Linked DNA regions of Drosophila melanogaster. The protein of the gene in region 3 interacts with the protein of the main gene of each other region in a pairwise test. Each region holds a gene or a part of one and is shown on either strand. Other genes may lie near its edges. The genes, in order: aspr, CG31740 and slou.

The links.
Region 1: the proteins of slou (region 3) and aspr interact in a two-hybrid assay, tested with the Drosophila melanogaster proteins (one large-scale study listed by BioGRID).
Region 2: the proteins of slou (region 3) and CG31740 interact in a two-hybrid assay, tested with the Drosophila melanogaster proteins (one large-scale study listed by BioGRID).

The regions. Positions count from the first base shown.
Region 1 is NC_004354.4:20,146,284-20,150,040, reverse strand, and holds the start of aspr (asperous), read right to left. Parts: upstream 1,918-3,757; 5' UTR 1,783-1,917; coding exon 1,780-1,782; intron 1-1,779.
Region 2 is NT_033779.5:18,006,796-18,010,194, reverse strand, and holds CG31740 (uncharacterized protein), read right to left. Parts: upstream 1,243-3,399; 5' UTR 1,097-1,242; intron 961-1,096; 5' UTR 888-960; coding exon 702-887; 3' UTR 501-701; downstream 1-500. Other genes in the region: CG42635 (uncharacterized protein), read right to left, coding at 1,369-1,767; CG42634 (uncharacterized protein), read right to left, coding at 1,857-2,201; CG42659 (uncharacterized protein), read right to left, coding at 2,478-2,627; CG5693 (uncharacterized protein), read right to left, coding at 3,194-3,399.
Region 3 is NT_033777.3:21,555,067-21,558,823, forward strand, and holds the start of slou (slouch), read right to left. Parts: upstream 2,117-3,757; 5' UTR 1,793-2,116; coding exon 566-1,792; intron 1-565. UniProt on the Drosophila melanogaster protein: May play a role in specifying the identity of particular somatic muscles and neurons of the CNS.

The DNA.
Region 1 (3,757 bases), on a different chromosome or scaffold from region 3:
CGATTAGTGCTGCTATCACTTGAATTTAAATTCAATACGATACCGATCTAAGATGAATATAATATTTGAATATATTTGAATACTAACTTGAAGTAACTCCAAATGGAGTGCATTCACTAGTTCTCATTAGTAACGAAACTAAATAAAAGACAACGGTAATACAAAGATAAATGTCATATTCTGCGTCAATCGTAGAGCCAGTCGAATGAAATGAGTTTGAACTGGATTGGGATTCATTCACTAAAGTATTCGATATGAACAAACATCTCAATCGAGAAGCGAGTATCACGCCCCCTTTGCCGGTTTATGTGTCATAATCGCATTCGAGTTCTGAAAAAGCCCAATAAACATGACTAACTCGATGATCCGCTGTTTGGTAGCAAACATTGGCTTGGACTTGGACTCTCAGTGGTCAGTGGGATTCTGGTGGCACCATGTTTGGGCTAACTGGGCATGGAGATGAGACGAGACGAGACGAGACGATCGAGATGATGATATGGCTTCGCTCTCAAGGTGGCGATCATTGTTGGCGAATGACACATGGGTGATAAACTTGTTGTCCGCTTCTTTGGAAGCTCAATTCGGGCTAAAAACAATTATTCAAATATCGGCATACAATAAGAATATGCAAATGGGGGTCGGCTGCCTTTTCGAATTACTCTGAATGACCAATATGGTAGTCCATGTTCGTATCAACTAAGTTGTCGATCATCGCGTAAATGGCACGGATGGATCCACCGAGGGAGGAAATTGGATTTTTTTCTTAAATCACACATCTTGCAGGGTGATTTATAATCTGATTACATTGCGCAAGGGAAGTGAAGTGAATCAGAGCCATATTTGTTATATTATATATGTACATACATATGTACATTTAAATAATTGCTTTTGGAAGGGCGAGAACTAAATAGTCAACTATATAATCTGTTCAATCTTGAATTAGTTAAATAAAACGTAAAACCTGTCAGAGTTTAGATTAAATTAATGCTTTCTAAATTTAAATAATGAGCAAGAAAATGTTAAGTGCTCAACATAAGTAGGTAAAAAGGTAAACAATTCAAATCTATTGGACTTTTTACTCTTCTCGTAATGGCAATTAAAATAACAAGCTATGCTAAAGTGCTAGAAACTAATTGGTTTGTGTTTTTGGCTTTGTGCACAAACAAATGAATAATGGGCTTGATGTTTACTTGGGCAGCTTAAAAAGCGTTGAGTGATTGATCATCGCCAAAAAAAACAAAAAAATGGGCAGATAAAAGGCAGATCGAAGACACTCAAAAGAATAAACCGATCGTGGGCTTCAGAAACATTACGAGTATGTGGGAATATTTCTTGGTTCATTCGATGTATTTGCAAATCCATTCACCACTATTCATCTAGCCGGAAGTAAATAGCAAATAGCAAAGTTAAGTCCTTACATTGTGAAATGAATATTTTTTTTGTCGTGTTTGCTTTAAGTACATCAATATTCCATTCACGTATCATTTACTGAATGCATATTTTATGTATTGCCTTTGTGCGTAATTTTTTCACTTAAGTTTTCGCGGTGAAGAAAATAAACAGCAAATAAATGTGCAAGTTTAAATCTATATACTTATTCGTGATTCAGATTCTTTCCTTAAATCGAACCCATTTTTATTACTTTTATAAAATTGTTTATAAATTATCCATCGTTGATAGATTGCTTCAGTTTAGATGATTTAAAAAAAAAAAAGGATATATTCCTTAACACACGTTTATATATACATATTGATTTTGGTTATTCCCACTGCAACTCACCATTTTCGGGGTTCAGTTCTTAGAAAACACTAGCACTACAGCAGATAAAGAACGTAAAATAAAAAACAAAACAAAAAGTGTCAACTGATAAATGGTTGCGATTTCCCACTTGGCACGCTTCGCTTTCAACTGAGTCGGCTTCTAGACGAGCTTGGGCTATTTATAAGGCCGCAACTCTTAACTTGGCCGAGAAACAGCTGAGCGACGTTGGCGTCATCTCTCAGCTGCTCTGCTCTGCTCTGATCTGCTCACCTTCCCTTCCCGAATTCCCCTCTACCCCGCATCCACAACCCTTCCACTTACACAGAGAAAAAACTATAGTATAGCTTGATATTAAAGATTTGTAAAGTAAATTATCTCTCCTCAGGTAGTAGCATCCAATAGTTGTTGTAATTTTAACAAAATAAAGATCGGAATTTACCAAATTCATTAGTTTTATAACTAATTTACCATTATGTCTGCATAAGTTCAACTTGCTAAACTAGAAACATTTCGAGTAACGAAAGCAGTAGATCAAATTGATGAAGTAGTTAATTTAGTTATATATATTTGTTCAGCCTGTCAGTTGGAAAACTATTTTTCCCAATGCACCAGCATTCTGTCTCATAACTCTGTTTGACAAGCTTGTTTTGCTGTTTGTTGACTTTGTATATTGTGCTGCTCGATTTTAGCTAAAATCATTTCAGTCCAAATCGCTTCTCAGACTGAGTCATTCGTACACACATACATATACATATATATACATATATTTGCCTGGGCATCGGGCTATTTATATACGCGTACTTGACGCGACTTTGCTTCGGATTGTTTTGGTCATGCCTTTGCTATGATGGCTCGATTTCTGCGTGGGCCGCTGCATCCAAGTGCCGTGGGTCGAACTTGGCTGGGCTTCCTACTAAACACGGCTCCGGATCGTAGGCAACTTGGCTGTGAACGAAGAAATTGCCCACTTGACACAATGGGCAGGTCGCTAGTACTAGGCGGTACCTGGTAATATATGTACACACATATTTCTGAAAGCATCCAAAACTAAGCGACTCTTTATCTTTGTAGGATTTAAAAGACAGTTATGTCATTTAAATTTACAAATCTATTATACTATAATTTATACCGATTCTTCAAACAGAATGTATCTTATCCGCACCGGATGCCTATTACTACTAACTGGGGGAAATATTCAATATGGTCATTTCGCTAAGGTTTTTTCTTCTTTCTATTTCTTCTTAATTGGGCATAAGATATATGTAGATAATCGCATTACAAAATTTAATTAATTTCACGAATTTACATATTTTTCAATCTGAAATATGTCGGAAATTGAGGAGAACAAAAAATCGCCCATTTCCGTTCAAATAGTAAGCGAAAAGAGAATATACATAAATGAAAGAAAATAAAATTTGAAAAAAAAAAAAAACTGAGAGGCCGTAAATATTCTTGATTAGCTTGAGGTATTCCGATTCACTCATACCACACAATAAGCCAATTGGGTATTTCATTGAACATCTTCACTAACTCACTCTACCGTTTCCTAAGTCCATTTCAATGGCATTCGAGTTTAAAATATAAGCTTAGCAAGACCGGCTCCACTTTCATTCGATATCAAAAAGAACGGATTAAGAACAAACGAATCTGCACTGGAATCGAGCCAATTAAAACGAGAATCTTGACTTCTGCTGGCTGCGTGGGCATTGGTTAGAATGAATAATAGAGATGGTTTGACCTATAGCAATAAGATAATGACCATTTGCCAATTTGCAATCGACTACCATTTTCAAATGAAATGGCATCATTGAATGGCATCGCTTAAGCTCCGCAAATCGAATCGATATGGGAATATTACAGATTAAACTGCAAATTGAAACGTACGCCAATTGGCCATAATTGAATGAGAATTCACCTGACGACCGATACGGGCACCTGTTCTTTGGGCCAACTTAATTATACCGTCTTGGCCTACAAATCTCTGGGCCAACACTTA
Region 2 (3,399 bases), on a different chromosome or scaffold from region 3:
AAGCAATGAAAATTCCGACCTACCGCAATAAATTCCGCGGAAAAACAAAGCAAGTGATGCCAAAATAAGAGTGAAATGGCCAGCTCACACACACACATGAATGTAAATGAAGTGGAATCACCACCTCAGAAAAACTCAGGGACACCTCAGACACGGCCCTGTAAATCGCGCTTATCCAAAACACAACATGGCATCAGGAGGCATTGGAGATTCAGTTTCATTTTCATTCAAAGATTGAATAATAGAAGGGGGTGTTCCATCCCTACCCCAACAACCTTTGACCTGACACAATGCTCTACATTCTATGTTTTTGTTCGAGTTGCGCGTTCGAATCGCGACTGCGCAATAAACCTGATGCCCCAAACAGCTGTTCTAGGCAAGACCTAGGACAACATTTGCATCCTTAACTGGAGGCTGGCCATCCACGTTTACATTGACGTAATCCACTTGCCAGGTTGGATCTATTCGGTGTTGAGATATATCACAAAGCAGTTCCTTTTGTACTTTAATTCATTTTATTACTGAACAGCTTATAATAAAAATTCTTTATGTATACGAGAGCTTAGTTGGTTTAGCCCCGGCCAAGGCAAAAAGGAATTCGAACAGCAACATATTTCTCCAGCAGTCTTTTCCAGAAGGTTGATCTTTAAATTGACTTGTTACCGCTTGCTGCCGTATTAATGCCTATGATAGCGGGCGCTTCACCAGCCGCAAGGACACGAGCTGCAGCCACCACAAGGACCACATGGACCACAGCAAGGACTACAGCAACCTCCACAGGGACCACATCCGCAATAGGGAGTTCCTCCCATCAAAGGAGCCAGGCAGCCGGGTGGGCAGGGTCCAACGTAGAAGGGATCGAAGCTGCAGCAAAGCATCAGAACCATCTTGAAAGTTTGGATTTGGTAAAGGACACTGGAATCTCTTCTAAAATCTGCAGGAGGGGCTCAAAAGGTACGGCTGCAACCATTCAAAACGGGGTTTGTTATTAACAAAACATTACCAAATATTTAAAAATTACTATAGGGAACAAAGCAATTTTACAATTTTTAAATTGTATAACTTTTTTATTCAATTTTAACGAACTAGAACGTACCTGGGATTTTTTTTCCTGCTGAAGAAATACGTTGAAGTTAATCCTTGGCTACGAATTTAGAATTTTTGTTCAATTTTTCATATTGTTTTTTTTTGTGTTTTATTTTACGAAAGAGATGTGTTCAGTCCAAGCTGTTCAAAATGAATGAGCTCTCTAGGTTTCGAATCCCACAAAGCCCACAAGATGAGTGAAGTTTATTTCCAAGGCCAACTAGAGAAAACTAAAAATTTCCTTTTTTTTGCTTTCTATTCGACATAGTTGCTGACTAGATCCTACTCCTCTTCGGTTAATTCTGCCGCTGGCGGTGTTTCAGGTTTTACTACTACCGGTTCCGAGTCCTTTTTATCCTTTTCGTCTTCCTTGGAGGAGCCCTCGGAATTATGTTCACTGCCAAACTTAGGAAGCAATGGTCCTACAAAGGCACATGCCTTGCCTCCAATACTTTGTACCACGGAGCAGGCGCCATCCATGCGATCGCCCTCTACTAGAGGAGTTTCGCCCTCGACGGCGGACAGCTGATCCGCCACTGGACCACCGCGCCTCACAAGGTCAGCGATCGGATCACGGGTTTGGTTTAACACCCTGCCACCCACTTCAGTTAACGAACGGGAAACTACCATAAACAGGGCCACTATGCCCGCAACTCCGATGGCCGTGTGAACCATTTCCATATCTTGGGCAAAGGAGCAGGATCTTCTGGAGGATCAGGAGGGTCGATGTCGGATTTTTCGATCGACCACGATGACAAATAATTCTAGGGCTACTCTCCAGCCATCGCCGAGATGGTATTATAGGTCGAACGGGCCAAGTTTCGGATACTTCGCGAAATTTCATTTATCAGGTAGTTAATGTCATCCGAACTGACCACCTGCTCCTGGTCGACATGGTGCTCCGGCGTTGAATCGTTTACAATCAAGACTATTTTACGAACGGGCTGAATCATGCCGGATACATCGATCACGGGCTCCGACACATGGTGATCAACCAGAAATGCCTGATGCATGATGATCACCAATTGGCGGATTACTGGCACCACGCGATCGAGGACGTTGATTGCCATTGGGGCCAGTACGTGGTGTACCACGTGATCCACAGACGAGGACATGACCAAGAGACTTGAATTTTGAATTTAGAAAACTATTTTCACACAATTTGCGACCTGATAAACTAAAATTCCCAGGAGTTCTAATTTGAAATCTAAGCCATTTCGATTGGAATATTTATATTATTTCCCCAGCAATATTCAACAGTTTGGTGACGATGAATCAATTTTATTATTTCTCTACATAGATGTGTGCGAGGCTAATTGGTGTGCAGTTTCAAAGTTCAACTATATTTGTTCCCGCCGTTATTCTTGCATTTTATACAGGTACTCGTCTCGTCAATAGCTGCTATAGCAACGACTGTGCCAGCCACCGGGGGTGTATCCTTTGTAAATGTCGAAGTTGCACGGACATACTGCGCATCTCGGATAGGGGCCAATGTAGAAAGGGTTTATGGCCGGAGTCCAAGGACGACTTAAGTAAACCATTTTCAGCACTCGAAAGAAGTCTGCAAATCTTATTTTATAAATACATCTCCCACATTTTCTCTTTCGAAACTCACCGGAAATGGAAGAGAAAAATGAGAAATTTAAACAAATGTTTGACCAGAACAACACGTTTCGTGCTTGAAATTTGAATGAAGAAAATGCGTATGTACGCTTATGTGTTATTTTGTTGACATTTAAATCAAGAATGCTGGTTTAAATTTATTTGACTTCATTTTAGATAGATCATAAGAAAATGAATTAATTTTATCTGTATTTTTTATCCACAGTTATTTTGTGCTAAAATAGAAAAGAGCTGGTAATTTGAGGTTAATATATATTATTATTGTTTTTATTATTTATAGATATTCATTTTATTTATTTATTATTATTATTAATTTTTTTGAAATATAATGTTACAATATGACGGTTCGATGCCCAGGAGATGATGAGCTAAATGGGTTTAGCTCAAGATGTTTGAAGATATTAGCAACACACAACAAGGTTGTGTGTTCAGCACATCTCCAAAGGACTCCTGGTTCATTTTTGCAGCTTTGCCTTTTTCCCCACTACTTCTGTTCCCGGAGCTTCGGTTCTTTTTGGGCTTTCTGGTCCAGTGGTTGCTTCGCCGCGTCCTTGTTGGATTGTGGGGCGGGATTGCATCGGGGTAGTTGGGACTCCGGGCAAACTCCGCACTCCGGAACCGTGCAGTGGCCCTCCTCCAAGCAATCGGGGTCACAGCAGGGCGGATCGGGTCCAATGTAGCCCGGATTAA
Region 3 (3,757 bases):
GGAATACCTTAATCACCGACTGGTAAACTACTTAAAATTTGTGTACCTTAGTTGTCCTAGGTGATATAATTTAGTTAAACTAAAATATAAAAAATATATTTGGAAAAGTATACCAATTATAAATAAAAATCTATAGATATAAATCAAATTCCTCAACATACCACACGCTTAAAAACAAAATGAAAATCTCAAAATCGAGCTATAAACATACAAAAAGGTTAATTTTGGCATATTTTCTCGACCAAGTGTTAATTGGGTTAATTACTCGAACGCAAAATCTAATAAAAAAGCTAATTGAGCAGAACATAAAATCAATTTGTATTAGCCAACGCTAATAAAAGCTACCAATTGTGTGGGCAATAAATATCAACATTAATAATAAATTTGCTATTTAAGTTTTCAAATTTTCACTAACAGCCTTCATTTTAGAACCAGTATTTTAATAAATCCATTTTGTATAATTGGCACACCTTAATATTAAAATCACAAAACATTTAATCTAAACTTTTTCTATATGATTTTACGAAATCCTTGCACTTAGTGCACTGAAATCTAGTTATCTTACCGACGGCGTGCTGTGCGATCCATCGTTGCTGTCCTCGTCGTTGCCATCGACGTTGAGCTCCTCGCTGGTGTCGCTCCTCGCGTATGTGGCTGCTGCAATTTGACGCGAGGTGGCCGCCGCAGCAGCTGCCGCCGCCGCCAGGCCACCCAGCTGTATTCGGAATCCGTAGTCGCTCAAGTCGCGTCCACTGGGCGATCCGGAGCTGGAGTTGGAGATGGAGATGCTGGCATTGGACACGGAGTTCGAGGCGGACGCCAAGGCGGAGGTGCTGGAAGCTTGAGTGGTGCGGGCTGCCACCGCAGCCACCAGCTTAATCCGCTCGAGATCCATGTCCGATGGTGCGGCAACCTGCTGCTGTTGTGGTGGCTGCGAGGAATGTGGCGGATTTTGGGGGGGAGCGATGGGTGGACTCATCTGCTGGTCGGAATGCATGGCCGGGGATGTGGGCGGCGACAGGGGCGAGGTGGCCGGCGAGGGTGGGGCAGTGCTGCTGCTGCTGGGAGCCCTCAAATGAAAGACCGCCGACGGATGCGGATGGGGATGCGGATGAGGGTGTGGATGCGGATGCTGATGCGAATGCGGATGTGCGGGATGCTGGTGATGCTGATGCTGATGATGGTGCATGTGCTGCTGGGCGGCGGCCAGGAACTGCGGATTCTGCAGCAAGTGGGGATGCTGCTGCAGCAGGGCCGCATGAGGATGCTGCAGTGGCTCCGGCCTTGCCAAGTGGCGCACAGCATTCAGTTCCAGGAGCTTTCGCTGCTGGGCTGGCGAGGAGAAGCTTACGGATCCCACCGATGCTGGAGGGGATTGCGAGCGACGTGTATTGCTGTTTGCATTGTGATTAGTTAGACTGTTATTGTTGTTGTGATTGGGCTTCTCCTTATCCTGGGAGTCCTCCTGCAAGGGGCTCAAGCGGCTGAGCAAGCTGCCCGATTCACTGCTCATCTGCTTGAGCCGTTCGAGGGAGTACCTCAGCTCCTGCTCCTGTTTTCCCGCCACCGCTGCGCCATTGGCGCTGATGATGAACTTGGGTATCTTGGCCGCTGGCGGAGTGCTGCCACCGCCTGTGCCGGACACCACACTGTCCGCACTCGCCACATCCGGCGAGGTGTTGGACTTGGGCGAGTCCGGGTTCGAGTTGGGACTCATCAGGCCACCGACGGCTGTGTTTTGGGCTGACGCACTATCGCTGGCCTTTTGCGCCGGCGATTGCAACATGACCATTTTTGGGTCTTTGGATATATTGTCTTGGATTCACTGGGCGTTCACTGAGAGTTCGAGTTCACTGAGTGTTCACTGCGCGTTGCGTGTCTTGTCACCTTGAGGGCAGCCAATCGACTGAATCCGGAGATGCCAATATCCGACGTGGACGCTGCCTATGCTGCCGCTGCTGCCGTCGTCGTCCGACGTCCGATTATCCTGGTCGTAATCCGCGCGCGACGACTCACACGCTCAAGAGCCAGAAGCGTAATGATGAGGGTTGTTTCCGATTTCTCCGAGTTCTTAATCCAACAGATGTGCCGTGTTGTGTGCCTGTGGCAAGTCAATAGCTAAATGCTGATGCTGCTGCTGCTGCTGCTTCTGCTTCTGGTGGTAGTGCTGGTTATGGTGGTGGTGGTGGTGGTGGTGGAGGCAGTTATCGTGGTATGGTGGTGGTTTTTGCTTTGAGTGACTCTCTGTGCGGCGCTCTACACGCCCACCGCTGAGTGGTTCTTTGAGTGGATTGGCTCCTCCCCGCCGTGGCTCTAATCTCTACTAGCATCTAATGATTTAATTTGCCTTCCACTCGTTAGCAAATGTAATGGTCTGTCGCAAGTCTAAGCCACAGAGCGGCAGGATGCGAGCGCGTGAGAAGAGGAGAGGAGAGGAGAGGAGAGGATTCCGGAGTGCTGTTTTACATAGTTCTTCACTCAACTGTAATAGCCACCCGATGGAAACAAAGGCCAGCCATACAGCCACGCAGCTAGCCAGCCAGCTGTCCAGCCATCCGTGCAGCCTTCGCCTCCCGAGGATGTGAGTAATTGTCAAATTATTTAGCGCAAAATTTGTTTGTTTATGCGGTTGGGTGCTTGCGAAATGGATCTCAACTTTTTGCACATTTCTCTCAGTTCTTGTTTTTATTTATTTGTACTATATGTTTTTCTGTTTCATATTTTCGCCAGTTGTGTGTTGAGTTTGCTTTGCTTTTGGCATGCCTGGTTTGTTCTTAGTCATTTATGCATGAATGCTTTGTGCTTTCTTCAGCTTAATTGAATTTTTGAATATTTTCGTGGCCGTAATTATGTTGCTAATTAGTTGGTTTATTTACTTTTCGCTTTTGATTTCTTTCTCTTTTATTATTCGAACGAAAAAAAAACACATCCTTGTGGTTTTTCTCCTTGACACTTCCTATGTAAAACTCAAAGCGTTCGAGGGGGACAGCCACACTATAGCCGTGCTCTTCTGCTCGCACTCTCTCTCTCTCTCTTTCGTCGGGCTTCTTTCTCTCTTACTCCTGCGCCTGCTCGCTCTCGGAAAATTCTTTAAAATTGAACAAAAATTTATATGCGCTTTGGCACAGACGATTTAATATCGCATCCAATTTGCGGTTTATACGCATCGCAGCAGTGGCCTTCAGTGGGGCGGGCTGGGTGGTCGAGGGGTGAATGAATGGATAGCTGGATGCCTGGTTCACTGGGGATAGGCCACTCGGCTCTGGGGGTTTTTCTTCTGATTCGTTTTTGGTTGTGGGGACAATGGGGCGTATAAGTGACATCGTTAAATGGACACCGGGCGCTGCTTAATGAACTCCAACGCTGGAATGTTGGGTGTTAGCTACTGCTTCTATATATCCACTGGCTTCACTTCGCCGCTCGTTAGCAAGGCTCGTCTTCTTCCTTCTATAATTAACCGCAGATCGGGGTGGCGAAGGGAACTCGGATGCTTAATGAGCAGCTTGTTATGCCGTTTTTCGTTTTAATTAGTTTTAAGATGCTGGCCACCAACACCAGAGCGTCGGGCACTCATTTTAATTGGCCCATTGATGGCGGAATCTCGTATATACTATACTCCGCACTCAGCGCATTATCACACTCGGTTGCTCATCCACGACAGTGGGACATCATCCTTTGGCTGGGCCCGTTTCTCGCTGTGTAATAAGTGCTTAACTCTTTACATGCAAAATTAAATGATGCGCATACGCACGGTAAA